Mytilus edulis: one gene and its partners. The main gene of each other region encodes a partner of the protein of the gene in region 3 in a complex. Links are inferred from orthologs where the notes say so. Each region holds a gene or a part of one and is shown on either strand. Other genes may lie near its edges. The genes, in order: eukaryotic translation initiation factor 4E-binding protein 1-like, eukaryotic translation initiation factor 4 gamma 1-like and eukaryotic translation initiation factor 4E-like.

Region 1 (10,402 bases), about 1.3 Mb from region 3:
AAGGTAAAACAAAATGAGATGCAAATCCTCTTTGAATACACAACATCCTGAAAAGCTAGAAGGCTCTATGTTTGTACAATTTGATTGCCATTTTCCTGCCAACAAACATTCCTCCATACTATTTGAATGAAAATGTAACCATGAAATTTCAAGGAGTGTGCCTTAAAAACAAACAAATTGACTTGCCTAAACAGATAAATCTGCATGAAGATGACCTAGTCACAGAAATATCTCAGTTGACAAACATTTTCAAGTAATTGATAACATTATGCACTGGTGAAGAAAAGCTCACAATAAAATGTTTACAAACTTTATTAAAACAATAGATATCATAAAACATGACTACATATCTCTGAAATCACACCTTCATGATGTTACCCGATTCCTTGCAGAACTGTTACCCAATTCCTTGCAGAACTGAAGTATTGTAGACAGATTATTTAGAAAACAAACTGATTATCAAAACTACAAAACTTCAGAGACATTATATAAAACAAGAGTTATTATTATGTGAAACTTGACCAAATTCATATTATTGCTGAATTATCATTCCTTGTGTATACATTAGTAAAACCTAACAGTAGCACTTTAATCTGAACACATGATTTCCATTCAAAACAAGTATTTTTTTAGCACTTAACAGATTCCAGTATCAATCTTTTGAGACATACAGTGTGTGAGAACATTCTGTTACCACTTCTCAACAGCCTAATAACAATGCCTAATAAGGATGTGTCGTCTGCCATGACTCTACTTCCTAAAATGGACTTGTCAACTGCTGTGACATGTACATGTAACAGTGTCACTCATTTACAACTATCCTAATATCAAATAGATCACAGAAAAATAAGAAAATAAGCTCAGAAATCGTCATTATTACATGTATGATGTTGCTAAATAAGGAAAATATCTATAGAAGATATGTCAGTGAAAGGCATCATGGGTAGTGATTTAAATGTCCATCTCAAACTGTGGCTGGTCTTCATGTGCTTCTAAAAAATAAAATAACGGGTTTCAAACAAGGTACATGTTTTAGTGATATTATTGCTTTTAACTACTTAAAAGTGATGCCATTCTTGTTTTTTGTTTCTCTGTAGTAAAATTAACTTTGTCTGCAACTCTACAACTATCCTAGTATCAAATAGATCACAGAAAAATAAGACTACAGTTATGATATTTAAGTGGTGAATGAATTTTTCTTCACGCTATTTATTTCATGATTGATGTTGGCTTCAGCATGTTACATCATGGTAGATTCTTAGTTGTCAATGTTACAATATGATATTGTTTATGTGTGTTGTTTATTAACAATCATATTATTTGGATTCTATAGTGCAAAAGGCTATATGGTAGTGAGATATCATTTTTAGAGTTTGACAAATTCATGAACTACATAAAAAGTCTACATTAATTGCAGTGGAAAATAGTAATTAATAGTTATATTAATGTTCTGTACAGTGTTTTAAAAGTATTGTGACTGCACTTTGGAAATGAAAGTGTTGTACAATGTTTACAGTTTAGCTGTTTTAATGTTGAAAATACATTTCTGTAGAGTTTAGTTACTGCAATGGTTAAAATAAATTTCGAAATCCAAGTGTAGTTTAGTTACAGCAATGGTTAAAACAAATTTCAAAATCCATGTGTAGTTTAGTTACTGCAATGGTTAAAATAAATTTCGGTAAACATGTGTAGTTTAGTTACTGCAATGGTTAAAATAAATTTTGGTATACATGTGTAGTTTAGTTACTGCAATGGTTAAAAAATATTTCGGTATACATGTGTAGTTTAGTTACTGCAATGGTTAAAATAAATTTCGGTATACATGTGTAATTAGTTACTGCAATGGTAAAAATAAATTTTGGTATACATGTGTAGTTTAGTTACTGCAATGGTTAAAATAAATTTCGGTATACATGTGTAGTTTAATGATGTGAAATGATAACACAATATTGACTGCTGAATACCCCTATTTTTGACATTTTACTCTTGAGTATGTTTGTTTTGTTCATGCATCGTTGACAATGTAATGGAATTTGATGCGACTGTCATACAAGTGAGAGGTTTAGCTAGCTATAAAACCAGGTTCAATCCACCATTTTCTACATTAGAAAATGCCTGTACCAAGTCAGGAATATGACAATTGTTATCCATTCATTTGATGTGTTTGGACTTTTGATTTTGGATTTTCCTTTTTGAATTTTCCTCAGAGTTCAGTATTTTTGTGTTTTTACTTTTTAGTTATTGCAATGGTTAAAATAAATTTGGTATACATGTGTAGTTTAGTTACTGCAATGGTGTTAAAATAAATTTCGGTATACATTTGTACATGTGTAGATCAGTTACTGCAATGGTTAAAATAAATTTCGGTATACATGTGTAGTTAAGTTATTGCAATGGTTAAAATAAATTTCGGTATACATGTACATGTGTAGTTTAGTTACTGCAATGGTTAAAATAAATGTCTGTATAGTTTATTTACTAGACTGTTTCTATCATGCTAATGTGTCACTGTAATGTAACAGCTTTTAATCACATGTACTAAACAATTTGAATGACTGTTCTAGTAAGTTAATCATGACCAACAAGGAAGATTTTCACTGAATAACCTTGTGTGTGTGTATATTGTATATGTTTACACCCCTGAGGACTATCAGTATTTACTATTATATATAGTAAATATATATATCAATACGACATGGGTTGTTGCTCATTTTGGTGACCTGTAATTAATGTTCCATCTTTTGTCAAGTGGTCTTTTATACACTGTATATTTGTCTCATTGGAAATCATATCACATCTCCTAATTTCTATTATATATATTTAAATTTAGCAAATTCTGTTCCTTAACTTAATGTAGATTCATCACAGTCTTTTTATAATAAATTGAGCGGAAGTGTTAAAATTACATGGACCTGTTAAATTTTTACAAGTATTCTAATCTCTTACTTATAATAACAGTTCGACACAATTATTTTTCATTTCATCTTTTATTTAGAATGTACTTACTATTTTTCTGAGCTGGGATATTTTCTGTGCCATTTTCTTTAGGGACATCAACCTCCCCAGGACAGGTAACCCCTGGAATCTTTGCCATATTTGGTGGAGGACTTCTAGTTAGTGGGGAGTTCCTACACTGCATCAAGAAATTCCTCTCATAAAAAATCTTTGTTCCTAAAAATGAAATAGGACGATCTCAACTTAATAAAATTCATAGTACACACATTATGAAAACTCTAAGTTTTAACCAAAAAAAATTTTTAAAAAATTTACTCTCCTTGACCATGTTGACTTGTACCAACAAATGCACTTACCAAGGCAATCACTGGTCATGATCATTGTCATTTTTCAGCATTGCTTATACATGTACAAACAAAAACCAGTGTGTTTATTATTATGTAAATAAACAGTGAAGAAATAAAAGAAAATAAAATAGAGATTTCTTACAAATTTTTGGTCTGACAAAAGTTATCTATTAACCTGTCCCTACTACTAAAGAGATAGTGAAGTACCGTAAGCCTTGGCCAGTAAGGAGGTGTTCACCGCAAGGATACATGTACATAATTACATGTTTCCCACAAGTCAGGTCAATGACATGTACAGTATATGTATAATCGTGTACATTTGTTCATAAACAACAACATTGCATACTCTGTCAATTTGTTATTTAAAATCAGAAAATTGAAAATTGAAAACATGCCTGGGAAAATACATGTACAACAAAATTTCTTTAAGTAATGTTTATTTCTGCTTTATTTATTTTCCATTGTTCAAATCAATGAATGATATAATAGTAAAATGACTCATGAGAAATAACAGATGTTAACACTATACCAAATTTCATACTCAAGGGTGAACCTGAATAATATTAAAAAGTTTTTATTCATGTTTACTCATCGGTCCACTACTTCACTTTTAGACTATCAAATAATTGTCATATCAGAACTAGAGAGAGAAAAAAAAACACCTTGCTCTGGTTTAAATCCATGTATTAATACATAAATATATATAAGTAAGCAGATCAGGTCAATGACTCCTGTTTTAATTAATCAATGAGGACAAGTGTTGCAATTTGTTATTTAAAGAAATGATAACATATCTACTGTACAATTACATAAGGTACATGTAGCATCATGTACATGTAATTACTCAATAGCATGAACAGATAAATATTCAGTTTAATACATACACATTTATTTACAATTTACCCCTAAAAGACTTATGACCAAATTGATGCATCATTATGTACCCACAATACAATGATTGACCTATATATATATTAAATTACTAGGTCAATCTATTTATAGTTGAACAGAGTTCAATAAGCAAGTTTGAGGGGTTGAAATTGTTGCATCATTACTATTTAATTTTGTGACAAAACAAAGTACATGTTTCAGATAGTATGTTTACTCAAATAACTGTTACTGTTATTACATGTATGTACTAAATTTAACATATTTAATCTATTCTATATACACAAATCCTACATGTACATGACATGTCAAGCCCCAGTTTGGTTATTAATAAAAAGATCTCTTCACAGCACAATTATTCTGAAAAGGCAAAACTCTTAAATTTTACATTAAAAACATGTATAGATGTAAATGTATATAAAAAATATACTATAGTCTATACAAATCCTTGATGTATAAAATATTGTTGTTGACATTTTATATTATCTTTTTAGTATACACAACTTGTTGCCACTGTGTGTTTGTACTCTAAGGATAATCATATTCAAATGTTAACTAAATAAACATTACAAAACTTTACGTTGGGCTGTTTATGAGGCAGAGTTGCTGTGACCTAAATCATGAATGACATAATATGGGTCACATGGCTGCAAAAACATTAGTAAGTCGCCATTTTGAAATAAACATGCTTGTTTACAAACAACAAAATCTGCATACTGTATCACAACTTATATCACTATTCCAGACATGCATTTGCAAATAATATCTTAAACTGGAAATAAATAAAACTATAAAAGAAGACATGCGCTCACCTCCTGGAGTTGTAGAAAATAACGAACCGCCTGGTGTCGTACTGTAATCATTTGGGAGCTGTGATAAATCGTTTAACACTACTCGTCTGGGAATACTCTGTCCTTTAACATGTTGTTGAGGAGACCCAGATTTTGACATATTAAGATTAATTAACGAAAAGTGTTTAAAAATACGTCCAAGCCTTGTCTCCTTCACTTCTGTCTGTCTGTAGAATGTTGTACTCGCGTTAACCTCCGACCAAAACACAAACAAGTCACATGGCAAGTTGACCTCGTAATTTCCGACGAACCTACGGAGGTAAACGAAGTGGTCATCTTCCTTGTTTACGTTGTATAGTTCGTGAGGCGGTTGAATTTAAAATAGTTTATTAATACTTGAAATAGAAAAAAAAAATTGTATTGTATTACATTATATGATCTTATATGTCTCTCATAAAAATAAAAGCACATGTCTAAACACTATTAGTCCCAATTACTTACACGAAATTAAAACAAAGAACATTAGTACACAAAGTATTTCAATGATTACATTGTTGTTTTATTGATCCCTATCAGAAGCATGGAATTCATTGTATATTTTAAAAATATACCATTCCTTGGTAGAAGTTATGACAGTTATTGTCCTTGAAAGACACAGGCACTAGTCTCTCAGAAAAAAATTTCCTATAATCAGTAACCCGAATAATTCAGTCGTTATATTCCGCTGATCTACGAAGGCTACATTAACGCCTGAACGTCTTCCTCGATCAAGACCGTCAACCGGAAAATTCACACCCCTTTGCAATATGGGAATTTTGATTTAAATTGGCAGCTAAAGAAGGAGGAGTTCCGGATGTTAATTGATGATAAATGATGTAAACTGATGTTAATTGATGTTAATTAATTATTATCGGATTTGTGTTAATTGAACACACGTGTTTGGTAAGACAATTTCAAGAGAGTTGCGCCGACTCATATCCTGATCGCCGCTGATTGGCTCTCTCTCACAGAGAGCAGGCGACGCGGCCAATGATCACAAAGAGTTCAAGCCTTCGTGTGGGAGAAAATCGGACACGGAAAGGGCTTGAATTATTCGAGTTATATAATCAGAGACATATAATACATATGTCTCTGCTATAAATTAATATACCTTTTTATTAACCAACTAAGTGCATTATTTCCAAAAGTGACTGTTTATTAAAAATTACATATGTTCTGTAATGGCCCTGTTTTTTTTCTGTAATGGCCCTGTTTTTCTGTAATGACCCTGTTTTTTTCTGTTACAAATGGCCCTGTTTTTCTGTAATGGCGCTGTATTAATGCCCAGTTTTTTATTTTGTTCAAACTAAACTGTCATTAAAAGAGTAAGACAGTACATCAAGTTAGCAGCAACACATACACTTTTGTACAGTTGGTTAATAAATGTATTATATAAGAAATGGGTGTTTTTATAATGGCCCTGTTATATGTCCTCGGTCAGTAATAATGGCCTCGGATGTCTGTAATAGCCCTCAGCGTAGCCTCGGGCCATTACAGACTTCCTCGACCATTATTACAGACCTTGGACATATAACAGGGCCATTATAAAAACACCCATTCATTAACGATCATTAATACTATAATAATATAACACTTTTTATAACACTTGTTATATTAAGGTATATTATTATAGGAAACAAATTCCTGAGACAAGTGCCTGTGTTGAAAGACTATATTTGTTTCAAATTTTATGATTTTCATTCCAAAAACTATGACCGAAATACAGAACATTCAACGACACAAAAATGTTATCAGTGGCGGATCCAGAACTTTTCCTAAGGGGGGCCCGCTGACTGACCCATGTTAAATTCCATAGGAAATTAAAAATGCTGATTTTGAGTTTTCCGCCATTTAGAATTTTATGGGACTTCTGTGTATATCATTTGTTCTATACTTTATTCCATTTCTAGTGAACCTCAATTTGTAAGCAGATTTAATAGTGGACATATTTATTTCGTAAAATACGTAAGCCCATATATCACATGTATTTAAATTCTCCCTCGCCCTGCTCGTCCGAATTTAAAGCATTTAATTTCTAATTCAATAGGCTATAAACAAGACAAACACAGATATAGGATTAGTTGCTCGCAGTAACATCTTATTTTCTCTTGCGATACAATATTTTATTTTACTGAATTGTACATATTTCTTCAATCGAAACATTATATAAACACATGACATATAACATTGTTCCTCTTTCGCATCGTTTCTTTTCCCCCGGCTAATGCCTCCAACGCCTGTACGTACAATAATCATAGCAGCAACTGCACATATACCTATGTGACCAACTTCAATCCGACGTAACTGCGAGCACCTTCGATACTAATACATTTAAATCCCAAACTTTATATAGTACCTTTAAACCCCACCCATAAAAACCGCCAAAACTTTCCTCGTGCCTCCTGCACCTAACATCAAACTTATGTATATGTAAGAGAATGATAATCCCTTTCTTCATGGTTAAATGTAAATGTAAATCCTATAATGTTTTGGAAAAGAAATTATCTTTTTTTAATTACAGTTTCAATCAATAAATAAATTTCAGTTACAGCAAATTTTATTCCTCAGTCAGTACTTCAGTAAAACAATTTTTTATTATATCTGTGAAAATTTCTAATAAAATGCCTTCAAAATTTTTAATCTTAAGGTGGTACTCAACACCTTGACTAATATTAATTTGGCTCGTTTAATTTTCATAAAATTTTGACAAAATGTTTACTTTGACCCTTTTACAAAAATATAAAAATTTCAAAAAAATTTGGACCAACCATTTTATCAGAAAAATTTCATTGGTAATATTGCAGTTTGAAAAACACTAATTTTGATCATTGAGAAGCTTTATATTTCCTTAACAATACAACGTGATTAAAACGCTTAGCTGATTTTACAGAGTTATCTCCCTGTAGTGTTAGGTACCACCTTAAATCAAATTTCTGTTTTTATGAGGGTTTTTTTATCGGAAATTATTACTCTCTATTGTTTATTTTTAGATAAATTTATTGAAGCTAGTTATTTTCATAACATTATCATCGGGGCACAAATTTTACTGCAGTAGTAAACCTCTTAACTTATTTTGATTTTTTATTTGTTTCACAATGCAACTTTTAGTCAAATCCAATCACTGTTATAATTCATTTCAATCAGGTAAATCTGCTTTAGGGCAGTTGTAACTCATTTATAGAATCTCTTCGTTTTGAATTGTAAGTAGGTTTGCACAATAGGATAATCTCTTACTAAGAACATGATTTACATTCATTCTTCACAATTAAGAGACACCAAATTCTACAATATCATTGGTCAAGAGCACTTTGCCATATTCTAAATAAATGATATATGACGTTTATCATTCATGCGAATTTTCGCATATTTTAAAGTCTTTTTTAGACCACAAAAATTCCCGCAAAAGTTATTTTGCGAATAATTTGTTACGTCTGACACGCATATTTTTGACGTTTTGGCAATATTTGTATCATTATTTGAAACTATTATGAAAAGTTAAAGAGTATTTTTTTATATTTTTGGAAACAGTAATACCTGCCTAATCAATGGATATAAATTTCATAAAGCTGAACTATTTAGATTTCATAGAAGAGCTATTTATCAAATTGCTCTGTCGTATTTCACGGCATTGACGCAATAACGTGCTTAACGTCTGTGCAATTGAATATTTCTTATTGAAACTTTTCAAAATTTGAAATTTGAAAAATGTTGGAAAAAAAAATCCCTTAAAAAAATGGTAAACTGAGACCCCCCCCCCCCCAATTTATTGAAACCCCCCTTGGAGCAATAACCCTAAACTCAATCCCATGCTTTCCTTTGTAATATTGAACCTTGTAGTACGATTTCAGAGGGATCCATACACTTAAACACAAGTCTTTGGAAACTAGAAACATGCTTCTTTTTTGGCCCTTAATTCCTACATATTTTTGGTAATTAACCCAAAACTTAATCTCAGCCTCCCCTTTTTTATATGGTACATTGTGGTACAATTTCAGAGCGATCCATGCATTTACACACAAGGTATTGTCTGGAAACTAGAAAAATGCTTGTTTTGGCCCCTTTTGGGCCCCTAATTCCTAAACGGTTTGGACCATCATCCCCAAAATAAATCCCAACCTTCCTTTTGTGGTATTGAACCTTCTGAAAAAATTTCATTAAGATCTATTCACTTAAACTAAAGTTATTATCCGGAAACCAAAGTGTCTTCGGACGACGACGCAGACGACGCAGACGATGACATCATACCATTATACGAACCCAAAATTTTTTTGGGGTCGTATAAGGGAGCTACCATTTGATTTTTATGGGGGGGCTAGGATGAAATTTGAAAAAAATAGGCAGGACAGGAATTTTGAGTAAAAAAAAAAGGCAGGATGAGACACTTGCAAAAAAAAAAAGTCAGGATGACAATTTAGGTAAAAAAAGTCAGGATAAACTAAAAAAAAAAAAAGGCAGGACCGAACAGAGTGAAAAATAAAAAGGCAGGACAGAGATTACAACTAAAAAAAAATGCAGGACAAAATTTTTCATCCTAGCCCCCCCATAAAAATCAAATGGTAGCTCCCTAAAAAACAAACACATCAGACGAACAATAAAATACAAAACCAACATAAAAAGCTGAAGACTGAGCAACAAACCCTACCAAATAACAAGCCCGGTGTTGAGTTTAACTCGGTAGGTCACATTCGTGGGAAAGGAGGACAAGGTTGTGGTTAAGACAATTGGAACATTTCCGACATCAAACCTTGATTGCGACAAAGATCAGCTTCATAAATCAAAACTCCTGGTTTAATAGCTTCCTTGTGAGATGTAATTATCTATCAAGAAAATCACGATGGGGAACACCAGTCATGGACTAGCGTATCAACTGGCCGGGGAGATATAAACTACACATACATGCGCTGCTCAGTGGAATGTTGCTACACAGAAATGGAAAATTCACAATTGGGTATCTGAAATCATTACTTTTACCGTATTGTCCCTCAATATCAATACCTAAATGCAAGTCAAGATATGTGGCAGATTTAACTGTAACTATTGTATCCTATATACTTCATGTTCAATGAGATAGATGCCGCGTGACAGTTCAAGATAGTCGATCAAACTTTCAATTATTTAGTGAGAGGACACCATCTATATAGCAGAAAGTAAGTTGAAGAATGATAGTATCATTTCATTCTCCCTTAGAAGCTCATGTATGAAGTCAGCCACATATGAATAAATGAAACAGTCGACAGAAGAGGAGCACAGTTAGATTCCATGGGAGTGCCGATTGTTTATTGAAAAAAATCGTCTTCCAGGTGTAATACATATGGTGTCAATCAAGAAATCAAGCTTCTTCATAATGTAAGTTTTAGATAATTTTTCTGTTAAATTAGACTG
Region 2 (10,806 bases), on a different chromosome or scaffold from region 3:
AGTATTATAATGTTATTTCTATATAAATCTTACCATCATTGGCTGCATTTGTCCTCCAGGCTGAGACTGAACAATAATCTGTGTTCCATAACTATTCATGTTGGTACTTGGAGGCATGAACATAACAGTTGGATACATCGGATTCTGTCCCTGTCCTGGCATCTGCATCCTCTGCTGTTGAGGAGGCTGCATAGGCCGTTGTGGGTAAAAGGGCTGAAATAATAAACAGTGTTAATGATAAACAAGAGTCGATAAATTGAAATGACTGGTCTGTTTTACAGATTTTTTGTATGAATATTGTCAAGAAGAGGTTTTATATAATGCACAAACTTGTGAATGCAAAATATCTTCTTTTTGGAATAATATTTACCAATTTGCACGACATAAACCTTTGATTCAGATTGTACAAAAATGATTACGAGGAATAATTAGTTCAAGGTCATAATTCATGTACATGTATTAAACTTCAAACTATTAATCTTGCAAAGTAATTTTCTGTAAAATTAAAATATTTTATCTTGATTTAAAAAGCTGCCCAAAAGCATAAAAGCAATTTAATTACTGTAGAGCAGACCATGCAAGGAACTATGCTGTAAGCTACAAATGTATATACATACTGCTGGTGTCCTTTGTTGTTGTTGTTGATACATGTTTTGTTGCTGAGCCAGGGCTTGGCCTTGTACCAACTGTTGATTATTCAATTGTTTACTTATATCATGGGGATAGTTCTGTTGTGGGTTCACCTGTTGTTGAAGAAATTGCTGTAAAAAAGTAGATACCCATTTTATCATTTGGTCTGGTGGACAGTTATCTCATACGCGATAACACGTTATTTTTTTCATATTTTCCCCATCATGCAGCATCAAATAGATTAGAGTAGAAAACTGAAATTTATATCCAAGATGTTAATTAAGAGCTTCCCAATATAAGTGCATATTTTTCTAATTTTTATGCACAGTACAACTTACAATTCACACATGAGCAAAAAAAGGTAATTGTCTCATTTAGTACAAATATTACATATAAATATATTCTGCTAACTTTTGAATATTAAATCAAGTGTTAAACATCAATGGCAAAATAGTACATAAAAATTATAATAAATACAAATAATAAGTTCAATGCTTCTCTTACGAAAAAATACATTTTATTTGCATTGAGTGTGTAAGTTAAAGTAATATCTTTAGCTAGCTTACTTGCTCCAGTCTTCATGCTAAACATTTGAATCCACAAGCCTGAAGCTCAATTTTAACAAATTTTTAGTTGGATTTTGTTGGCGTGAAGAGAAGAATTTCACAAGCCATTGCTGTAGGACTTGTGGTTAAGCGTGAAGTCATAATTAGTTAAAATATACTACCCTCCTTTGTTAGTAGCCGTGTCCTACAGACAGATAGATTGGTTATATGTCGGACTAGTCTACTCTTAAAGAAGGGTGGTTTACCTAACCTACTAATGGCTATGGTTCAGCTAGCAAGCAAGCTAACCAAAGTTATTACCTTTACCTACTTACTCAATGCAATCAGCTCTTAACAAAATATACACATCGATACATACCTGTTGCACCTGTTGTGGATTAAAATACCCTTGTTGAGAAATGTAAAACTGTGGCTGCTGTTGTTGCTGTTGTACTTGCTCCTCTTGTGGTACCCCTAAAACAAATCATGCCTTAACATTATTTCATTGATCTTTTGGACAATGTCTGCGAGACATACAAGTATCACAAACTCGCAAGGGGTCATTCCTCATGTGTAAATACACACATATTCTATGTATGTAGCAGAATCTTGAACAACTTTAGAATCCATTGGCCCTGGGCATGAAGTTCAATTTATTGGCCTATAGAGATTTTTTTAATCCTGAGCTGGTGGGTATGGGTATGTGGTACATGTAACTCAGAAGACAGACGTAAACTTTTTTTTTAACAGTCAATTTTCTTCCCATAACATCTGTGTGGTATGGATGTCCTATCAGTCTAGCTGTGCCAACGGATAAATCATTAACAAAAGATCATCATGTTTTAATGAAACAACTAATTTTGCAATCTTCATCTGATGATGTACACTGGTGTTACAATGCATTGAAGTGAAGCTTGCACAAAAAGTTGTTCCTCCGAAATAATATGATTTTAGTCTACAAAGTCGATCATACATGCTTCCATTATTTAAAAAAAAAAAAAAATAGTTGTCCGTCTTATAAAAGATCAAAATGGAAAATTACAGATACCGAGAGTGAGCTGAAATACCCAGGTGACAACATAAAGCTTTTGACAGTTGAGGAGCAAAGTAACAGATCGATGGAAAGGTTACTTCCTCATCGTAGGTTACTCAGGAGCACAAGTCCAGATACTACAAAATATAAACCCATATTACCCCCACAAGAATGAAAATATTCTAATTAAAGCAGATCCTATAATAAGCATGCAGCCATACTGTACCATAAACATATATACTTACAATTGTTATAATTTGGTGTTCCTCTTGGACTGTATAAGGTTAAGGAAAAGGACTATGAGTTTAAATATTTAAATCTTCCCATTTCTAGGCTAGCACAACAAAGCTTTTAATTTGCAACCTGGTACCCGCAACATAATACAAGTTCTTAATCTAGAATAGTATATCTCTGACACCCTACCATACAAGGAACAAAGGGAATAAACTTACCCTTTTTACTGACACAATTTCCCATAAAGCATGAGCTACAAAAGGGAATAGGTTTAAGAATCATATCGCTTTTTAAATACATTTGCAGATGTGCATATACCTTATTTTTAACTATTATTGACGTGGAAATACCTGTTATGTAATTGCATTAATTCACATGGACATATCATCTTTACACTTTGTAGATATTATAATATTCTTGAACTAAAACATTGAATGAATAAGGTTGGATCTAACATTAAAATGACATTTTGTTCTCTTAGGATTAAAGAACACGAACTAAATATTGGCGAAGGGTTTTAAAGCTGACATGGTAACAAATGTGAACAATTTTTAAGGTTCCATCAATCAGATTAATAATCGGGAGGGACAGTTTCATGTACTACATATAAGGTCAACCAACAAAAATCAAGATTTTAAAAACTGCCCAAAACTGGTTTCAAGAGGTTGGATATCAGATTTTTTTTAACAAATAACCAATAGCTCATTTTTTAAATTACATGTGTGTATGTACATAAAAAATAAGTTGGTAAGATTGGTTAGATTCGTAACAGGAAATGTTAAACACGATTTTTACTTCCATAAGATGCAACTTCAAATTACCTTAACATTACATACATGTAGATATGCCAAGTAGTCTCCAAATTGAAAGCTTATTTTTTACCTTATCATAATGTGACAATGTCTAAAAATAAATCTGACATTGTACTTTCTGAAAATGCCTGTTTTTCCAATAAAATGCCCTGAACACAGATCTATACAAATACAGGTCAGATTGAGGTTAAAATATGTAACAACAAAATACTCATAAAAGAAAAAGAAATATCTCTGCTACTGGTATAAAGAAATTATATATAAAACCATAACTGGGAGTAACAAACAAATGTACAATAAATAAGGCATCATAAACAACAAAACAAGAATTCTTACTTTCTTTCTGGAATTTGATCATATCTATTAATCAGTGTTGCTTTTCATTATATTCAGCTTCCATTGTATGTTATTATTTTCACTTTTGTTCATCATTATAACAAAGACTATTGTGTATCTACTAATAATTTGTGTATTTGGCAAATATCCAATATCTGACAAATATTACACATCACCACATGTCAATAATCCTAAATATCATTTAAGGGTTATTTTAAAGAAAATTCACAAGAAACATTCCAAAATTTCCAAATTCATTTTGATATTTAACTAAACACTGTTGATAACACACTGTAACACTGTTTCGTGTTTTCATCTTTTCCATGATGTCGTAATTAATGTCATGTGATATGTGCACGCTCAAAGAATGTGGTTCCTCGTTCGAAAAGCCCCGCCTTCATAACGAGCTGTCGGAACATTATGTTACAGAAAAAAACAAAACAAACAACAAAAACACAATTTTAAATCAGATGTGCAATCAATAGTTCAATAAACTTGGATATTTCTCACACAAGTTGTCCCGAAAACTGCAAACGTGACAGGACGAAAAACCGGCATCTGTTCTCGTGCAAACTGACATGAAATAAAATGAATTAACCCAAGTAGTACATAAAATAAATTGTTGACTATGCATAAAAAGGATACGTTACACTTCTTTGCTGTGTATGTCCTGTTATTTGAGATGGTGTAGGTGATTTCACTTTTGGTACATTCGACATTTCATTCAACGTGAAAAGGAAGCGGTTTAGTCCTGGAAAAGGACCCTTCCGATGCTTGTTTCCCAAGCTCTGTCTCCTACATAAATTGAAACAAAATCATTTTTGTTAGAGTTCGTGTATTCAATTTTCATACTCACTAGTTTTTAGATTATTATGATGGTCAGATAATCAACGATGGCATAAGATTGTAGTCATGTAAATAAGTATGGCTACCTTGTTAAGGGTCTGCAAGGAGACGTAGCTCGGCTATTTCCGGTTACTTTACGGAGGTTACCGGCAAGGGTCAAAGGTTACCATAAATTCTGTTGTTTGAAGTTGCAACTAGTCAGTGTTTTTTTTTAAATTCCGGATTTAAAGTAATTAATAATAACAGAAGGTAATCTGAGTTTCTTTGTCATGATCTTTTGACATCAGTGACAAATGATGAAGGTAAAGAGAAATCGTTGAAACGTTAAAAAGGTTGAGTGCAAGAAAAAGGGGGGTATTTGGTACACTCACAATCACAAGACCGTAAACATTCGCATTAAAAAAGAAAAAAAAATGAAAATATCAGTATACAAACGTTAAATATTGAATAAGAATGTGAAGTCATATGTTATAGCACTAACCCGTGTTAAGAGAGAGCCATATTTCTTGCACATATTAAACAGTTGCAGATCTAGAATTTTTCGTAAGTGGGGGCCACTGGCTGCTTAAGAGGGGGCCCCACGATACACCTTATCGCTATTTGTCATCCATTACTGGATATCACATAGGTTCCCGTAGAATATTCACGTCATAAAACAAAATATCTGAGCCACAATCGAAAAGTGATTGTTGTTGACGTCAAAAGTTCAAGCGGCCGGGTCAGCCGGGAATAGCGTTAAGGTGTATTCCTTATATAATCAACCAAATTTTTTTCTCAAAAGGGGGAGCCCCACTGACCCCCCTCTAAATCCGCCTCCGCATAAAAGACACTCTTGTAGATTTCAAAAAAAGAGAAGCACTCACACCGGCAAAGTGGAGAGGGACTAATATAAGTTGCAATTACTTAAGATCCAATTATCATGTGTGATTCGGTGTCTATGTTGCAAGTTGTTGATTTGTTGATACACGTGTATATATATAAATATATGAAGTGCCTAGAAAATCAACCTAACAATGTTCATGATGTTAGAGTAGATTTGATTCTTTTCTTCCTCCCCAGCCGGGGCTGGAACCTGTACTTTTCACTTCATACTTCTATGACAACACCGCCTATCATTTTTGTATAGCCTAGTTGGTTCAGTGGTCTTAGAGCGTTGTGCATAGTGCAAGGCGATTTGGTGCCACAATATCTCATGAGTTTGAATCACGACAAGGGAAGAACAACAAATTTGCAAAAGCAAATTTATAAATCTAACATTGGTTAGGCTAATATTTAGACAAATTATATAAATAAATTAAAATATATATATCACAAATGGTTGTTATTTTATTACAATCATGACAATATCAAACCATTCATTGTTAAAGATTTCAACAAGGGTATTAGCTGCTTCTTAAAATACATGTAATTGCATAGTTTATACTTTTATAAATAGGTTGTGACTGTCTTTTTCATTAGGTCCATTAATAATAAGAAATTTTTTTTAACATGGGACAAGGATTTAGAAAAAAAATTGTGCATTACTAGACATGCTAGAGTACTACATGTACTAAATTTTTCGTGCTTAAAACTTCAAACTCTCCAACACTGTTTGGTAAAATCAAGGAATTGTATGTTAAGAAAGTAAACACAGGTGACAGCTTATATCAATAGTCTCTTCTCACAGAGCAATTATCCATGTCTGTCTTGTCAGAACTATGATATTAAGAAACCAAATAATGACAGAGGTCCTGTCATGTCTGTGGTCAGAGATTTTGACTTTTCAAGATTTCATTTCAAGATTTCATTTCAAGATTTCATTTCAATGCATTTTCAACTTTGTATTTAATATATTTTCTTATAATATATGTAAAGGGATATTGCAAGAATATAGGTGAATATTGTCGTCAGTAAATTTTAAGATTGCATAAACTTGCATTGTTAATTTTCAAACTTTTCACACAGCTGAGACCAGATAACGATAGTTAAAAAATTTGTAAAGAGAAAAAAACTCTGTTTCACTATTATTAATGTTGTTTTTCAGTCTGATTAAATATTTTTTAGAAATTGTAATTTTTTTTAATGACCTTGACTGGCTATACAGCCCTCAGGACTATTGCATCAGCCTCTCCATATTTGTACTCTTTTAAATATGTTAGCCTGGAACTATATGGTCAATATTATCAGTACTTCCACAGTGTCCATTTGGCCAATCTTGAAATAACTTAAAATTTCACAGTATGACGACTAATGCAGGACACAAATTTCAGAGATACAATTAGAACAATTAACCAAATATATTTTAGCAGGCAATTAATGAATGGGTATTATTGATTTTAATATTTTATCAGTGTAAGATCTCCAGGAAGTATATTTGCAATCCCCATGGGGCAGGGAACTGACAGAAGTGTCATGTTGAGGACATACTTAGCATGAGGATAGCTAATTACATAAGGTCATGACCCCTGGCATGGAGATGATTTATTATGTAAAATTCGATTACATGGTTTGTTATTTTATTGACCTGGAAGGGGTCATATTTCATAACTGTCTTCACTAGACCATTAAACTGGTTTTTGTAACTGGTTTTCTTGAAATAATCTATATTGTCATATTTTTCATATTAGAGTTGATGACATATGATTTTTTTAGATCTTTTAAAAAGTAGATATTTTGATTTCAAGGGGAAAATGGATGACATGCATTAAAATTTGAGAAAATGTTAGCATGCTGTTTTATGATTTAAAAGGAGAAAACCTTCTAAGTAAATAGTTTCTTATACTTTTGCATTATATATTAAAAAAAACCATAGAAATTACTAACATTATGATCTGTTTAAGTTTTTTAGGGGTAAATTCCTTCAAAAGTTAAAATAGTAGCTAACTTTACTTTAAGATATAAAAAATGCATAATCAATGTTTTTTTCGTCTAAAGATGTTTATTTGTATTATATCAGTATCAAAAGAAAAAATAAATAAAACAGCATAAACTTAAATTAAAGTATTTAAAAAATATTTCCCAATATTATATAATTTTCAAGTGATTAAAAATAATAACTACCATTGGATTGTTAAAGATCTCAATTTAGCAACCAGACCAGTATATTTATACATGTGTGAACAGGCTTTTGAAACAACCCCACAACAATTTTTTGTTAGATAATTTAGAACATTTTTTGCATAATGACCTGAATACTATTATTTAATTGTGACCTTTTAGGTCAATGGTTAGTTAAATTAAGGACATTATACATGTATAGATGTACAGTAATAAATTACCAAAATATATTGTTATTGATTTTAATTGACCACAGGTACTATATCATGTATATGCATAATATGTTTTGCCACAAGATATATATTTAAAAATGTACTGTTTAATAAAATAGAGATATATATATAAATGTGCGTAAATACATGTATCTACACTTTGACATATCTAATACCAAATCAAGAATATACTTAAAATGAAAATGACAAAGTTTTGTTGTATTTTTGTTCTCTTTTTTTTTTTGAAATATGGTGTAAGAGCCAGTGAATTATCAAAATGAAGCATTATTTAAATATTTGCTTTACACAGAAATTTCTGACTAATCCAAAGACTAGTGCTGATGAAAGGTCTAAGATTCCTCCTCCCTTTTCTCTCTCTACTTTTAAAAGTCTTACTTCAAGAGTTATGGGGAAATTTCACTGTTAATTACACCTTATGTAAGAATCCGGGGTTTTGATTGGTTGATAGCCAGTATTTTTCACCAATTTACTGTTATCAAATGAATATCCTTCATTTTTAACGCCGCCGGGGTATTTGCTAAAAGGATATGCCTTTTTTACCCTCTCTGCCGTGGTATTTGCAAAAAATACTCTATCCGACTGGACGCTTGTAACGTCACGGTCAACAATGCGTTTTAGTATATTAACATTCGGTGTAATTAAACAGATATATCATGTTATTGAGGGGTATTTGCGAAAAATACCAGTCTTGAGAATGAATTTCCCTCGCCTTACGGCTCGAGAAATTTTACATTCTCTCGACTGGTATTTTTCGCAAATACCCCTCCTTAACATGATATATCTGTTCAAAATTTTTGTTTCACAAACCCCATTGGTGTGACTTTTTAGGTTACCATTTAGTCAGTCTCACATGTCTCAGCCAAGTCAGTCAGTTGTGGAATACATTCTTACATACATATATATATATATATAGTCATCAATATTTATTATACATCTGCATTAACATTTATTATTGCTATTTTGTGCATTTTTCCTTTGATCTTTTTTTGTGATAATTTTTCATATCATGCTACTCGCTTGAGATGGAAAATTATCGCTAGAAACTAAGGCGGCATGTGGCGTTACTAATGAAATTGACATGAAATTGACAATGTCGTCATAGGTAAAATAGCGACAAACAGATTATCATTTATCCCGGCTCAAGCGAGAAAATCAATCTCGTTGAGATGATCAAAGATAATCTATAATTCTCTCAACTGAATGCACAATAAGAAGATGTTGTTTGAAAGCCAATGAGACAACTCTCCATCCAAGTCTCAATTTGGAAAAGAAAACCATTATAGGTCAAGGTACGATCTTCAACACAGAGCCTTGGCTCACACTTAACAGTAAGCTATAAAGGGCCCCAAAAATTATAAGTGTACAACCGTTTAAACGGGAAAACTAACAGAATCTAGTGTAAAAATAAACAAAAAGGAGAAACACAAACGACAACTACTGAATATCAGGTCCCTGACTTCGGACAGCTGCAAACAAATGCAACAGGTTTAAACGTTTTAATTAGTACCAACCTTCACCCTTACCCGCAACAATAGACGTATTTAAACTTGTATGCAAATTTGTACGCCATTACGTAGAATCACACAGGTTCCTGTAAACTTTGACATAACAATTCAAAAAATTTGACGTCGCATGAAAAAGTGATTGTTGCTTGACGTCAAAAGGTTATTCGGAGGCGATCTACGGTCATTTGGAGACAAAATTCAGCTAAATACCAAAAGTGTAAATACGTTTATAGTGGAACATCACAACATAGAAAACACACTATAAGATATCAATTGAAATGGCTTAACATGCATTTTAATGTGAACATGATTTAGTAGCCATTTCAATCAAGTTTTTAGATATAAATGATAATCTGTTTTTAATTTTTTTTATTAGACGGTTAATGGTGGATATAAAACCATGCTAATCTGAAAACTGTGATTGAATTAAGACTGTAGTTGCCAATTTGCCAGCTGCCATTGCAAGGTAATATTTTTATTCCTTGCTAAAAATGTTGGTTAAGCATATAAAGCTTGTGTTTATATATAATTTTTTTCAAGTATGGAATTTTTTCATGTAATATAGAAATAAAGAAGATTTAGTTTGATTATCAGCAACACACATTTCCTCCAGAACCAAGGAAAACAAGTTAATAACTTTAAGTCAACATACAGTCTTCAAAAATGAGCAAAACAAATACTGCATAGCAAGCTATAAAAGGTTCTGAAATAACAAATATAAAACAATTCAAACATTAAAATAAATGGCCTAATTTACAAATTTACATTGCTGTCTGAACATCTCAATTTGTCAACTCTTTTAAGGCCCTGACCACTAGCTTGTCCAGCTACTTTGAATTAATTAGCAATGTTGCTGTCCATCAGATTTTCAGTTCTGAACTTTAAAGCAGAAAGGCTAGATATATCTCTGTATCAACTACATGTATATATACTTCAGAGAAGAATTCATACAGGAACTTCATGATCAGTTCATGAAGTTACTGAAAAAATATAAAGAAAAGATGATGTGATATGAGTGATAAGGAGGTTGAATCTGTACAATTTTAAAATTATTTAAATAAATGTCTCATTTCAACCATTGTCTGCTTTTTTTTAAAAAAAGCTTTTGAGAATGTAGTTTACTCTTTTGTGTATAAGTATAATGCTGTAAATGCTTAGATATTGTATCGAATATGAAACAATTTTTTTGTGAAAATACCTGCATAATTATCTGCTTTTAATAAATTTATGCTTATTTCAGGCATTGTTAAACATGCCACATTTGTATCCATGGTTACTTGGAGGTCATCACTATGACAGCATACATAACCTGACAAAAGGTAACTGTAGTGATGGAGTACGATGGTTGTATGTGTTACTTGGTGACTGTGTGACAAATTCAAATGAATATGCATCTGATATTTTTGGATTGCTGTCCATTGCATTATGGGTATTTGTTAGTACACCGTAAGTATAAACTGAGTTCAGAAATAAGATTATCTTTTCACATAAGATTTTTATTTGTCTGCCAGTGCCTTTAAAATATTTTCAACCAAATATGGTACTCGCAGGTTTATTTAGATGTGAATGAGTAATAGTTCATTTATAATTTATTTG
Region 3 (10,678 bases):
ATGCGATATCATCACTCTATTGTATAATGACATGTGCTATGATTAATAAATATCAAAATTGGATCATTCATCACAAATTTATAGCACTGCTATGTGTATATGTACCCTATTTTCATGGTAGCATCCTGTCTCCTACTATCCCTCGTCCATAAACTCAATTTGTCTCCTTTATTCCTAATATTAATAACAGCACCATTAACATCTTCACTAAAATCTTCAAAGGCTTCACCAATCAAACATAATAACTGAAATAAGAATTAAATATTAGATAGTCATTTCGATATGATTTAAGAATATATACCTGCAGTATCTTCTATTTTATTTCAATGGGTTTGTATCTATTTCCATTAAAAAATGTTCCAATGAAAGTGTCAGCTAGAAAGTAACAGTCGATCAAAAATTTACACGAAGGTCATCTAAACGTGACTCCTTCTGGATTGTCTTTAAATCTTCCCCACCAAGATACATGTATCTTATGAAGCATCGTAAAAAATGAAATTTATATCCTAACTTTAAATGATAAATGTTCAGTATTGTCCTTATATTTCAGATTTTTTCTAAAGTAAGATAAAAGTGGACAATACAATGACCGATGGCTGGCAAGCAACAGCAAAAGCTTGCACTTTTTGATAATTGTGTTAGAAAATTACAGATGCTGAGTTTATTCAAAACAATAAATAAAAAGTGAAACTGTCAGCTACTGCTCAATGATGATACCCAGGGGTATACTCAAGGAAAAGTGCTCCAATGTCCCAAACTTAAGGCCTTAACCACATATTTAATCTATCTAAAGGCAATGGTTGCAAGTCTTCAGATGCCCCAAATATCAAGTATAAGTATTTACCAAAAAACTTTTTGTTTAAGAAAATGAATGCAAATCTGTTTATTTCTGATACTTGACCAGTCCATGTATTAAAATACTTACTGTTTCCAACCAAAAATTATCTAAATCTGTTGATCGTTTATTTTTTTCTAAATTAATTAACCATCTTCCTCCATCTTTATTAACATCATCTTCCCACATTGGCTGAACACCATCCTTAAATGAATAGGACAAATGTTTACTTGTAAATTCAGGATAATCAAAATAACCCCATCAATGGCAAACAGACCTTTAACAATACAGCCTAATTCAAATTCGAATCATCCTTGTGACTGTGGGGACCACATATTAATGCATTTCAGAAATATTTGTACATGTGATATGTCTAAATAGTGGCATCTAATAATTGTAGAAATGGCTGTTTCTAAGATTTCTAAGAATCATGCAAAAGGAGACCATTCTCAGTCGGAAACCAGGTTGAAATAGAACAAAAGAATTGAAGCTCTTTGTTAGAGAAGGCGATAAATGCTTACTGTAATGTTTACTATAGTGACAAAAATTTTAAAAGTTAATAGAAACAAACAAAATTACAATTTTCTTCTCAATTATGAAGTGTTTTATTTTGAAAACACCATTTGCATAAGTTTTCAATTTATTTAGTACATAGGTAAGCAGAACAATTAGATATCAAGTCGACGACATGGGTATCTTTCAAGTTGGATGTAGAAAATGCATAAAAAAAAATTACCACGGACGGAAAACATATCAATCTATTAGTTCAGTAATTTTCGTGTCTGCCCTTCCATTATGTGACTCAAGAAAAAATTTCAAAAAATGGGTAACAATTGCATCAAAAAGAGAAAATCGAGTGCACCTTTTTATGTTCGGGCGTGTTTGAGTTGAATATTTTGTCTTGATATCGTACAAAGTAAGAATATTTCATACATCGTCTCGCTTCAGATTCTATCATTTTTATATATCAAAGCTACAGGTCGACTTTATAACATAAAAAAATCACAGTACTAAAAGATTAAATATATGGGTCAAGTGAAATACCTATCTAATGAATCACAAAAACAGAGTAGGTGTGTTCGAATAGCTATTTTTTACTGAAAGTACTTGACGACAGTCTTTCAAGTTGGATGATGAAAATGCATATCTTCGAAAAATTATAATTTTTTGTGTGTGAAAACTAGGGTTTATAGTCTTCAATCACTAAACAAATCTAGTCTGCCCTTCCAGGAAATATTTAATTCAAATTTTTTTTAATGTTTATGAATTTTCGAAAATTCCACCTGACAACCGATCAGACAATAGATCGTTAACTAATGCTCATTAGCTAGTTGATACATTTGTCTTTAAAAATACAACTGACATATAAGGATCGTAATGGTGCAATGTGGATAAATTTGTCGGTTGCCAAGAGCAAAATTGGCAGCGTGTCATCCCTACAATGGCTTCCATTTCTACGAATGTGAAAATGAACTGGCGTAATGGGGAGATAATTTTGACGAAGTAGAGTCCTGACTGTTCTATTGAATAATAAAAAGCTTTTTTTCAGTACTGGCACCAACATTTTGTTTACTAGATTTAGACATTGTGGTTGTGACTTGAGTCTCAGATTACTCTCCGTATCATACAGACTTATTTTTTTGCTCGAAGTAGTCCATTTCCCGAATATATGTATGTTTTATATTGAAAAAAATTCTAATGTAAGTATGTAGATCTTTAAATATGACAGACTATGTTATCTGATCAGGTACGCACATACTATCATCATATAACAGGTTGGTAGATGTTATAACATATAGAGTTAAATTATACATGTAATAAAAGCTAACAAGAAAATAATTTCTTTTTCCTTCAATATTTACCTTAAATAATGAGTAATCACAGCCTGAGGGTAATTTGCTTGCTTTCTGTACATGGTTATATAATCTAAAATTATCAACATTGTACATGTTAAAATCAGAATAAATTATCTGTGTTTACAAAACACATTGTCCAAGTGAAATGTAAATGTATTACAATCTTCAACTTGAAATTGAATGTCTTTTAATATAACCAAACAACATTACGGGTTAAGTTTGACTTCAAACTTGAGCTTCAAACTCAGAAACATGATTATATTGTTATTCTACTAATTGTTCTTTTTCTCTATTTACCAAGAGGCAAGGGTGGTAGGGAATGTAAATAAGCATCCAAATAATAATACAGATATCCTTGACATCATGGGTATGACATGACGTTAATTTTCTATTTTTCTGGGTGTGTCTAGCAAAGTTTGAAATTTTAATAAATAAATATAACATATTAAAACAAGCATTTCCCTATAATAGCCTTCTGTCATTAAACATGTTAAAATAGCTCCAATATCAGTATTTTACAATAATTCATATTTGGACATTATTGATTGCAAGATTTCCTCATCATTGTGCAATAAACAAAATAATTGTTTATAGGTTAGTGGGCTAGAAGACATGTCACACTAAATGGTATAATCCATCAAATGTTGACAACCCAGTCACAACACAACCATTTCTGACAGATAAATTCTATTTTAATACCTACTATATACCTTTACTCTCAGTTTTCATGCTTAACCATCACAAAAATAACTTGTGACTTGCATTTTAATTAAAATACTAACTGCTTTAATATTTATTTTATTTACAGTGCATTCATGTGTTCATTTTACTTCACAATAAATTTTACTTTTAATGCAATTCTAATATAAAACTTATTTGACATTAATGAAAAAAACATGCACTTTCAAATACAAATTTTTCGTTTTGTTTTGTTGACTATAGAGATGCAGCTTTAACAATTTAAAGACTGTGTATGCTAATAAGATTTTAATATTCTAAAATTGATATTAAAATAATTTTCCTAACTAAAACAATAATTACAATTCACAAAATATTTACCTGTATGTATTTATTTACATCTTAATAGAATATAGCAATAGCTCACAAATAGCTTGATACCAATTTTAAGAAGCTTTGATTTGAAAAATGGGACATGGCCATTCATTGATAAGCGAGTGGTTCACCAGAAGTTTATGGATGGAAAAACAGACAGGCAGACATAAGTAAATGTGTATAAACCCCCACCTATGGAGTATGGTATAATTATAAAATCACTTTTATGCACAGCCTTATCTTAATAACTGTACTTTTTTTTTCTTTTCTAAATATGGAATTTCCATTTAAATTTATTTTTTTAAATTACGCAATAAACAATTAGAACTAATACTCTGCTCTATAAACTTTTAAATTCTATTTTCACTTCTACTAGAAATTAAGTTTTAAATTAAAATTTTAACTAATAAATATATAATTTACCCCCAGAAATCTTCTACAGTATCAAATGCCGTAACCAATTTTAGATTCGCTGTCCATTCTTTCGTTCTGTCATTTTTGAAAAACCACAAGGCCCATTTGTTTTGAAGTGGATGTTTGATTAAGAGTTCTGGTGATAAAGATTCATCTTCTTCGCCTTCAACTTCTTCTACTTCATCAACTTGTTCTTCTGTGTCATTCCGTAACTCCTGAAATATAAATGTAAATAGTATCTTATTGTTCAGAATGAATACCATGTCCATTTGAAATTTGGCCAGTAATGAACTAAAAATAAATCTCCCAAGAAGGTTGAAGACCTCAATTCCATGTCAGAATTTTGTAATCACAGTCACTTGTCATCTGTAACTTTCCATTTCATAACAATAAATTTTCATTTAAAAGTAAAGAAATACAGTCATGGAGAGTTTTTCATTTATGGAGAAATGAATTAAAGCAATGTCTAACAAAATCAGCAGATTTATTTCTTTTGTCAATATTTACAAAATAGCTCTACATTGTGTACCTTCAAATTAAAAAAAAAAAAAAAGTCTCTATTTCAATTCAAGACAAGAAATAAATAATTCAATTGAAATTTTATATTTTGTTCTGTACCTACAAATGCATATGTATCCAACAAAATAATAAATGCATACATAATTCATTATTTGTAAGTGAAAATAACTTTATCTTACTGTAACTTTCAAGTAATCCATGAATGCAATTTTATACAACTTATAAAAGAGAAACACATATGAAATAAGTACTTTTCGCAAATAATACTAAAATCTGACAAAGAAAAGTCTTTTATTCTGTATGAATATAAGGTCTTTTTAGGGTTTAAGAGCTTTTTAAATAAGACCTTTCAAAAATGATATAAAAAATGTATAACTATAAATCATAATCTCAAAAAGAAAATATGTATGAAAAAGCTATAAAATCTTAATAGACATACATTAGACTGGCTGTCAAAATTCCTTGGTGTTAAATAAGTCTATTCCCCAAAATACCTCTTTAAAACATTTTCCTCTTACCCGTATTTTTGAGCCAAGACTCAGGTGGTATAGCATATTATAATCCTGTGTAAGACAGTTATATACTGAACATCAGATGTACCAGCATACCAACCACTGTGACCTGACAAGAATATCCCTTCTGGGCATGACAATCATTTCTAGACATGTGAATGAAAAACTTACCGTAGGTTGTCCTACTTCCTAACCAAATTTGTTTTTTTGAACTACATCAATCTATCAAGACCTAAATCTTTAGATTCTTCTACAATTTAAACATTAACAAAACAATAAAATTGCACATGTGATTATAATTTTTTCACCATAAAAGATTTGAACCAGATGCTCCACAGGGCGCAGTTTTATACAACCGCAGAGGTTGAACCCTGAACGGTTGGGGCAAGTATGGACACAACATTCAAGCTGGATTCAGCTCTAAATTTGGATTGTGATTAAATAGTTGACAGAGCATAGGTTTCGGACACAGAATGAATGTGGTCTAATGAACTTTAAATTTTTTTGCCTTTGAGCAATTCACTATGCTGTTGAATAAGTCCTCTCAAAAAAATGTTTGAAGAAATTTTCTTTTTATTTATGAAATCTGAAATGAGAAAAATGTACCCCCCCCCCCCCCCCCCCCATTTTTTTTCACATCCCCCTTTCCCCTTTCCCTTTTTCCAAAACTGATCTCAATTCAAATTTCTAAGATTGTTTTAATTTATCAGTTGGTAGTAAAAGTGAATATACATTGTATATTGTATAAAACAATGATTTAAGTTGATTCAACTACTATTCTGAACAAAGAAAGATAACTCCAATCAATTGAAAATTTCTTGCTATTGCACAATATTGTGCAATTAGATATTTCTTGCTATTGTGCAATACTGTGCAATTGAAAATATTTGCTATTGCACAATATTGTGCAATTGAAGATTTCTTGCTATTGTGTAATACTGAGCAATTTTTGTTGAAATCAAACAAAGTTTAATTTCGGACCCCGATTAGAACCAACTTGAAAACTGGGCCCATAATCAAACCAGGTGCTCCACAGGGCACAGCTTTGTACGACCCCAGTGGTTGAACCCTGAACAGTTGGGGCAAATTTGGTCATAATATTCAAGCTTGATTCTGTCTGAATTTGGATTGTGATCAAATTTTGACATAATATAGGTTTTTGTCACAAAATTAATGTAGTCAAAGATGTAACAAATCTATTGCACAATACTGTGCAATTGGAGATTTCTTCTTGAAACTTTTTTAAATTTGAAATTTGAAAAATTTTGAAAACTAGAGGCTCTAAAGAGCCTGTGTCGCTCACCTTGGTATATGTGAATATTAAACAAAGGAAGCAGATGGATTCATGACAAAATTGTGTTTTGATGATGGTGATGTGTTTGTAAATCTTACTTTACTAAACAGTCTTGCTGCTTACAATTATCTCTATCTATAATGAATTGGCCCAGTAATATCAGTGGAAATGTTTATAAAAATTTACAAATTTTATGAAAATTGTTAAAAATTGACTATAAAGGAAAATAACTCCTTAGGGGGTCAATTGACCATTTCGGTCATGTTGACTTATTTGTAAATCTTACTTTGCTGAACATTATTGCTGTTTACAGTTTATCTTTATCTATAATAATATTCAAGATAATAACCAAAAACAGCAAAATTACCTATTCACGGGCAGCAACCCAACAACGGGTTGTCAGATTCATCTGAAAATTGTAGAGCAGATAGATATTGATCTGCTTAACAATTTAACCCCATGTCAGATTTGCTCTAAATGCTTTGGTTTTTGAGTTATAAGCCAAAAACTGCATTTTACCCCTATGTTCTATTTTTAGCCCATGGCCATCTTGGTTGGTTGAACGGGTCACGCCACACATTTTTAAAACTAGATACCCCAAAGATGATTGTTGCCAAGTTTGGATTAATTTGTCCCAGTAGTTTCAGAGGAGAAGATTTTTGTAAAAGATAACTAAGATTTACGAAAAATTGTTAAAAATTGAAAATAAAGGGCAATAACTCCTAAAGGGGTCAACTGACCATTTCGGTCATGTTGACTTATTTGTAAATCTTACTTTGCTGAACATTATTGCTGTTTACAGTTTATCTCTATCTATAACTAGAGGCTCTAAAGAGCCTGTGTCGCTCACCTTGGTCTTTGTGAATATTAAACAATGGACACAGATGGATACATGACAAAATTGTGTTTTGGTGATGGTGATGTGTTTGTAGATCTTACTTTACTAAACATTCTTGCTGCTTACAATTATCTCTATCTATAACAGTACTTTCTGTGGAAAATGTTATTGAAAATCTTCAAATTTTAACAAAATTGTTAAAAATTGACTATGAAGGGCAATAACTCGTTAGGGGGTCAATTGACTATTTTGGTCATAGTGACTTATTTTTAGTTCTTACTTTGCTGTACATTATTGCTGTTAACAGTTTATCTCTATCTACAATAATATTCAAGATAACAAAAAAAACAGCAAAATTTCCTCAAAATTACCAATTCAGGGGCAGATAGATTGTGACCTGATCAACAATTTTACTTCCTGTCAGATTTGCTCTTAATGCTTTGGTTTTTGAGTTATAAGCCAAAAACTGCATTTTACCCCCATGTTCTATTTTTAGCCATGGCGGCCATCTTGGTTTGTTGGCCGAGTTACTGGACACATTTTTTTAACTAGATACCCCAATTATGGCTAAGTTTGGTTAAATTTGGCCCAGTAGTTTCAGAGGAGAAGCTTTTTCTAAAAGATTACTAAGATTTACGAAAAATGGTTAAAAATTGACTATAAAGGGCAATAACTCCTAAAGTAGTCAACTGACCATTTTGGTCATGTTGACTTATTTGTAGATCTTACTTTGCTGAACATTATTGCTGTTTACAGTTTATCTCTATCTATAATAATATTCAAGATAATAACCAAAAACAGCCAAATTTCCTTAAAATTACCATTTCAGGGGCAGTAACCCAACAACAGAATGTCCGATTCATCTGAAAATTTCAGGGCAGATAGATCTTGACCTGGTAAACAATTTTACCCTGTCAGATTTGCTCTAAATGCTTTGGTTTTTGAGTTATAAGCCAAAAACTGCATTTTACCCCTATGTTCTATTTTTAGCCATGGCGGCCATCTTGGTTGGTTGGCCGGGTCACGCCACACATTTTTTAAACTACATACCCCAATGATGATTGTGGCCAAGTTTGGATTAATTTGTCCCAGTAGTTTCAGAGGAGAAGATTTTTGTAAAAGATACAAAAGATTTACGAAAAATGGTTAAAAATGGACTAAAAAGGGCAATAACTCCTAAAGGGGTCAACTGACCATTTCGGTCATGTTGACTTATTTGTAAATCTTACTTTGCTGAACATTATTGCTGTTTACAGTTTATCTCTATCTATAATAATATTCAAGATAATAACCAAAAACAGCAAAATTTCCTTAAAATTATCAATTCAGGGGCAGCAACCCAACAACGGGTTGTACGATTCATCTGAAAATTTCAGGGCAGATAGATCTTGACCTGCTAAACAATTTTACCCCATGTCAGATTTGCTCTAAATGCTTTGGTTTTTGAGTTACAAGCCAAAAAATGCATTTTACCCCTATGTTCTATTTTTAGCCATGGCGGCCATCTTGGTTGGTTGGCCGGGTCACGCCACACATTTTTTTAACTACATACCCCAATGATGATTGAGGCCAAGTTTGGTTTAATTTGGCCCAGTAGTTTCAGAGGAGAAGATTTTTGTAAAAGTTAACGACGACGGACGACGGACGCAAAGTGATGGGAAAAGCTCACTTGGCCCTTCGGGCCAGGTGAGCTAATAATATTCAAAATAATAACCAAAAACAGCAAAATTTCCTTAAAATTACCAATTCAGGGGCAGCAACCCAACAACGGGTTGTCCGATTCATCTGAAAATTTCAGGGCAGATAGATCTTGACCTGATAAACAATTATACCCCATATCAGATTTGCTCTAAATGCTTTGGTTTTTGAGTTATAAGCCAAAAACTGCATTTTACCCCTATGTTCTATTTTTAGCCGTGGCGGCCATCTTGGTTGGTTGACCGGGTCACGCCACACATTTTTTAAACTAGATACCCCAATGATGATTGTGGCCAAGTTTGGTTTAATTTGGCCCAGTAGTTTCAGAGGAGAAGATTTTTGTAAAAGCTAACGACGACGGACGACGACGACGGACGCCGGACGACGACGCCGGACGCCAAGTGATGGGAAAAGCTCACTTGGCCCTTTGGGCCAGGTGAGCTAAAAAAGGAAGACCTTTAAAAAATGGTAAACCAAAAAATCCCCCCCCCCCAAACTTTTTGAAACCACCTTGGAGCAATAATCCCATGCTTTCCATTACAGTATTGAACCTTGTAGTACAATTTCAGAGAGATCCATACACTTAAACACGAGTTATTGTCATGATTGTTTGGAAACTAGAAACATGCCTCTTTTTGGCCCTTTTTTGGCCCATAATTCCTACATATTTTGGGCAATTAACCCAAAACTTCATCCCAGCCTCCCCTTTGTTATATGGTACATTTTGGTACAATTTCAGAGAGATCCATACAATTACACATAAGTTATTGTCTTGAAACTAGAAAAATGCTGGTTTTGACCCCTTTGTGGCCCTTAATTCCTAAACTTTGGCCCCATAACCCCTAAAATGAATCCAAACCTTCTAATTATGGTTTTAAACATTGCAGTATGATTTCAGAGCAAATGAAATACTTCTACACAAGTTGTTATCCTGAAAGTAGAAAAATGCTTGTTTTGGGCCCCTTTTGGTCCCTAATTCCTAATCGGTTGGGACCATCATCCCCAAAATCAATCTGAACCTTCCTTTTGTGGTATTGAACCTTCTGAAAAAATTTCATGAAGATCTATTAAATAAAACTAAAGTTATTATCTGGAAACCAATGTGTCTTCGGACTATGACGTCGCAGACGACAACATCATACCATTATACGATCCCAAAATTTTTTTGGGGTTGTATAAAAACTAAGTACATGTTTAGATTCAGCATACATGTATAAAAAAAAACCAAAGAATTCAATTTTTGTTAAAATTAAACACCTTAATGTAGACCAATTTGAAAACGGGACCAAAAATTAAGAATCTAAGTACATAAGATTCGGCATATCAAAGAACCCCCAAAGTTCAATTTTTTATGAAATCAAACAAAGTTTAATTTTTAAACCCTTTTGCCCCTAATTCTCAACTGTTGGAACCAAAACTCCCAAAATCAATCCCAATCTTCCTTTTGTGGTCATAAACCTTGTGTTTAAATTTCATAGATTTCTATTTTCTTATACTAGTCATTGTGCGAAAACCAAAAAAATGCTTATTTGTGCCCTTTTTTAGCCCCTATTTCCTAAGCTGTTGGTACCAAAACTCCTAAAATCAATCCCCACCTTCCTTGTGGCAATAAACCTTGTGTTAAAATTTCATAGATTTCTCAGGGCTCACACTACTTCA

What was found.
Region 1: the proteins of eukaryotic translation initiation factor 4E-like (region 3) and eukaryotic translation initiation factor 4E-binding protein 1-like are in contact, whole or in part, in a crystal structure (PDB 4UE8), measured with the Drosophila melanogaster proteins. The link is inferred for Mytilus edulis from reciprocal best matches to the Drosophila melanogaster genes eIF4E1 and Thor. Residues at the interface, in NP_001261626.1 of Drosophila melanogaster: Lys80, His81, Pro82, Leu83, Met84, Tyr91, Ile107, Thr108, Val113, Glu114, Trp117, Ser118, Leu119, Tyr120, Asn121, His122, Ile123, Lys124, Pro125, Tyr135, Leu174, Asp175, Leu178, Cys179, Ile181, Gly182, Glu183, Phe185, Asp186, Ser188; in NP_001285588.1 of Drosophila melanogaster: Lys51, Leu52, Ile53, Tyr54, Arg56, Phe58, Met59, Lys60, Leu62, Arg63, Ser65, Pro66, Leu67, Ser68, Gln69, Thr70, Pro71, Pro72, Asn74, Val75, Pro76, Ser77, Cys78, Leu79, Leu80, Arg81, Thr83.
Region 2: the proteins of eukaryotic translation initiation factor 4E-like (region 3) and eukaryotic translation initiation factor 4 gamma 1-like are in contact, whole or in part, in a crystal structure (PDB 5T48), measured with the Drosophila melanogaster proteins. The link is inferred for Mytilus edulis from reciprocal best matches to the Drosophila melanogaster genes eIF4E1 and eIF4G1. Residues at the interface, in NP_001261626.1 of Drosophila melanogaster: Lys80, His81, Pro82, Leu83, Met84, Val113, Trp117, Tyr120, Asn121, Leu174, Asp175, Leu178, Ile181, Gly182, Glu183, Ala184; in NP_001137857.1 of Drosophila melanogaster: Tyr605, Trp610, Pro612, Lys619, Gln620, Tyr621, Arg623, Leu626, Leu627, Leu629, Arg630.

The regions. Positions count from the first base shown.
Region 1 is NC_092352.1:10,079,827-10,090,228, forward strand, and holds eukaryotic translation initiation factor 4E-binding protein 1-like, read right to left. Parts: upstream 5,287-10,402; 5' UTR 5,142-5,286; coding exon 5,003-5,141; intron 3,172-5,002; coding exon 3,007-3,171; intron 993-3,006; coding exon 952-992; 3' UTR 297-951; downstream 1-296. UniProt on the Drosophila melanogaster protein: Repressor of translation initiation that regulates eIF4E1 activity by preventing its assembly into the eIF4F complex. Hypophosphorylated form competes with eIF4G1 and strongly binds to eIF4E1, leading to repress translation.
Region 2 is NC_092356.1:41,477,796-41,488,601, reverse strand, and holds the start of eukaryotic translation initiation factor 4 gamma 1-like, read right to left. Parts: upstream 4,580-10,806; 5' UTR 4,523-4,579; exon of another isoform or gene 4,447-4,522; intron 4,386-4,446; 5' UTR 4,310-4,385; coding exon 4,236-4,309; exon of another isoform or gene 3,613-4,235; coding exon of another isoform or gene 3,591-3,612; intron 2,696-3,590; exon of another isoform or gene 2,686-2,695; coding exon of another isoform or gene 2,661-2,685; intron 2,483-2,660; coding exon 2,454-2,482; intron 1,650-2,453; coding exon 1,555-1,649; intron 762-1,554; coding exon 618-761; intron 214-617; coding exon 34-213; intron 1-33. Other genes in the region: lysosomal amino acid transporter 1 homolog, read left to right, coding at 10,463-10,656.
Region 3 is NC_092352.1:11,377,982-11,388,659, forward strand, and holds the start of eukaryotic translation initiation factor 4E-like, read right to left. Parts: upstream 5,313-10,678; 5' UTR 5,232-5,312; coding exon 5,196-5,231; intron 4,374-5,195; coding exon 4,168-4,373; intron 2,762-4,167; coding exon 2,698-2,761; intron 1,040-2,697; coding exon 926-1,039; intron 246-925; coding exon 106-245; intron 1-105. UniProt on the Drosophila melanogaster protein: Recognizes and binds the 7-methylguanosine (m7G)-containing mRNA cap during an early step in the initiation of protein synthesis and facilitates ribosome binding by inducing the unwinding of the mRNAs secondary structures.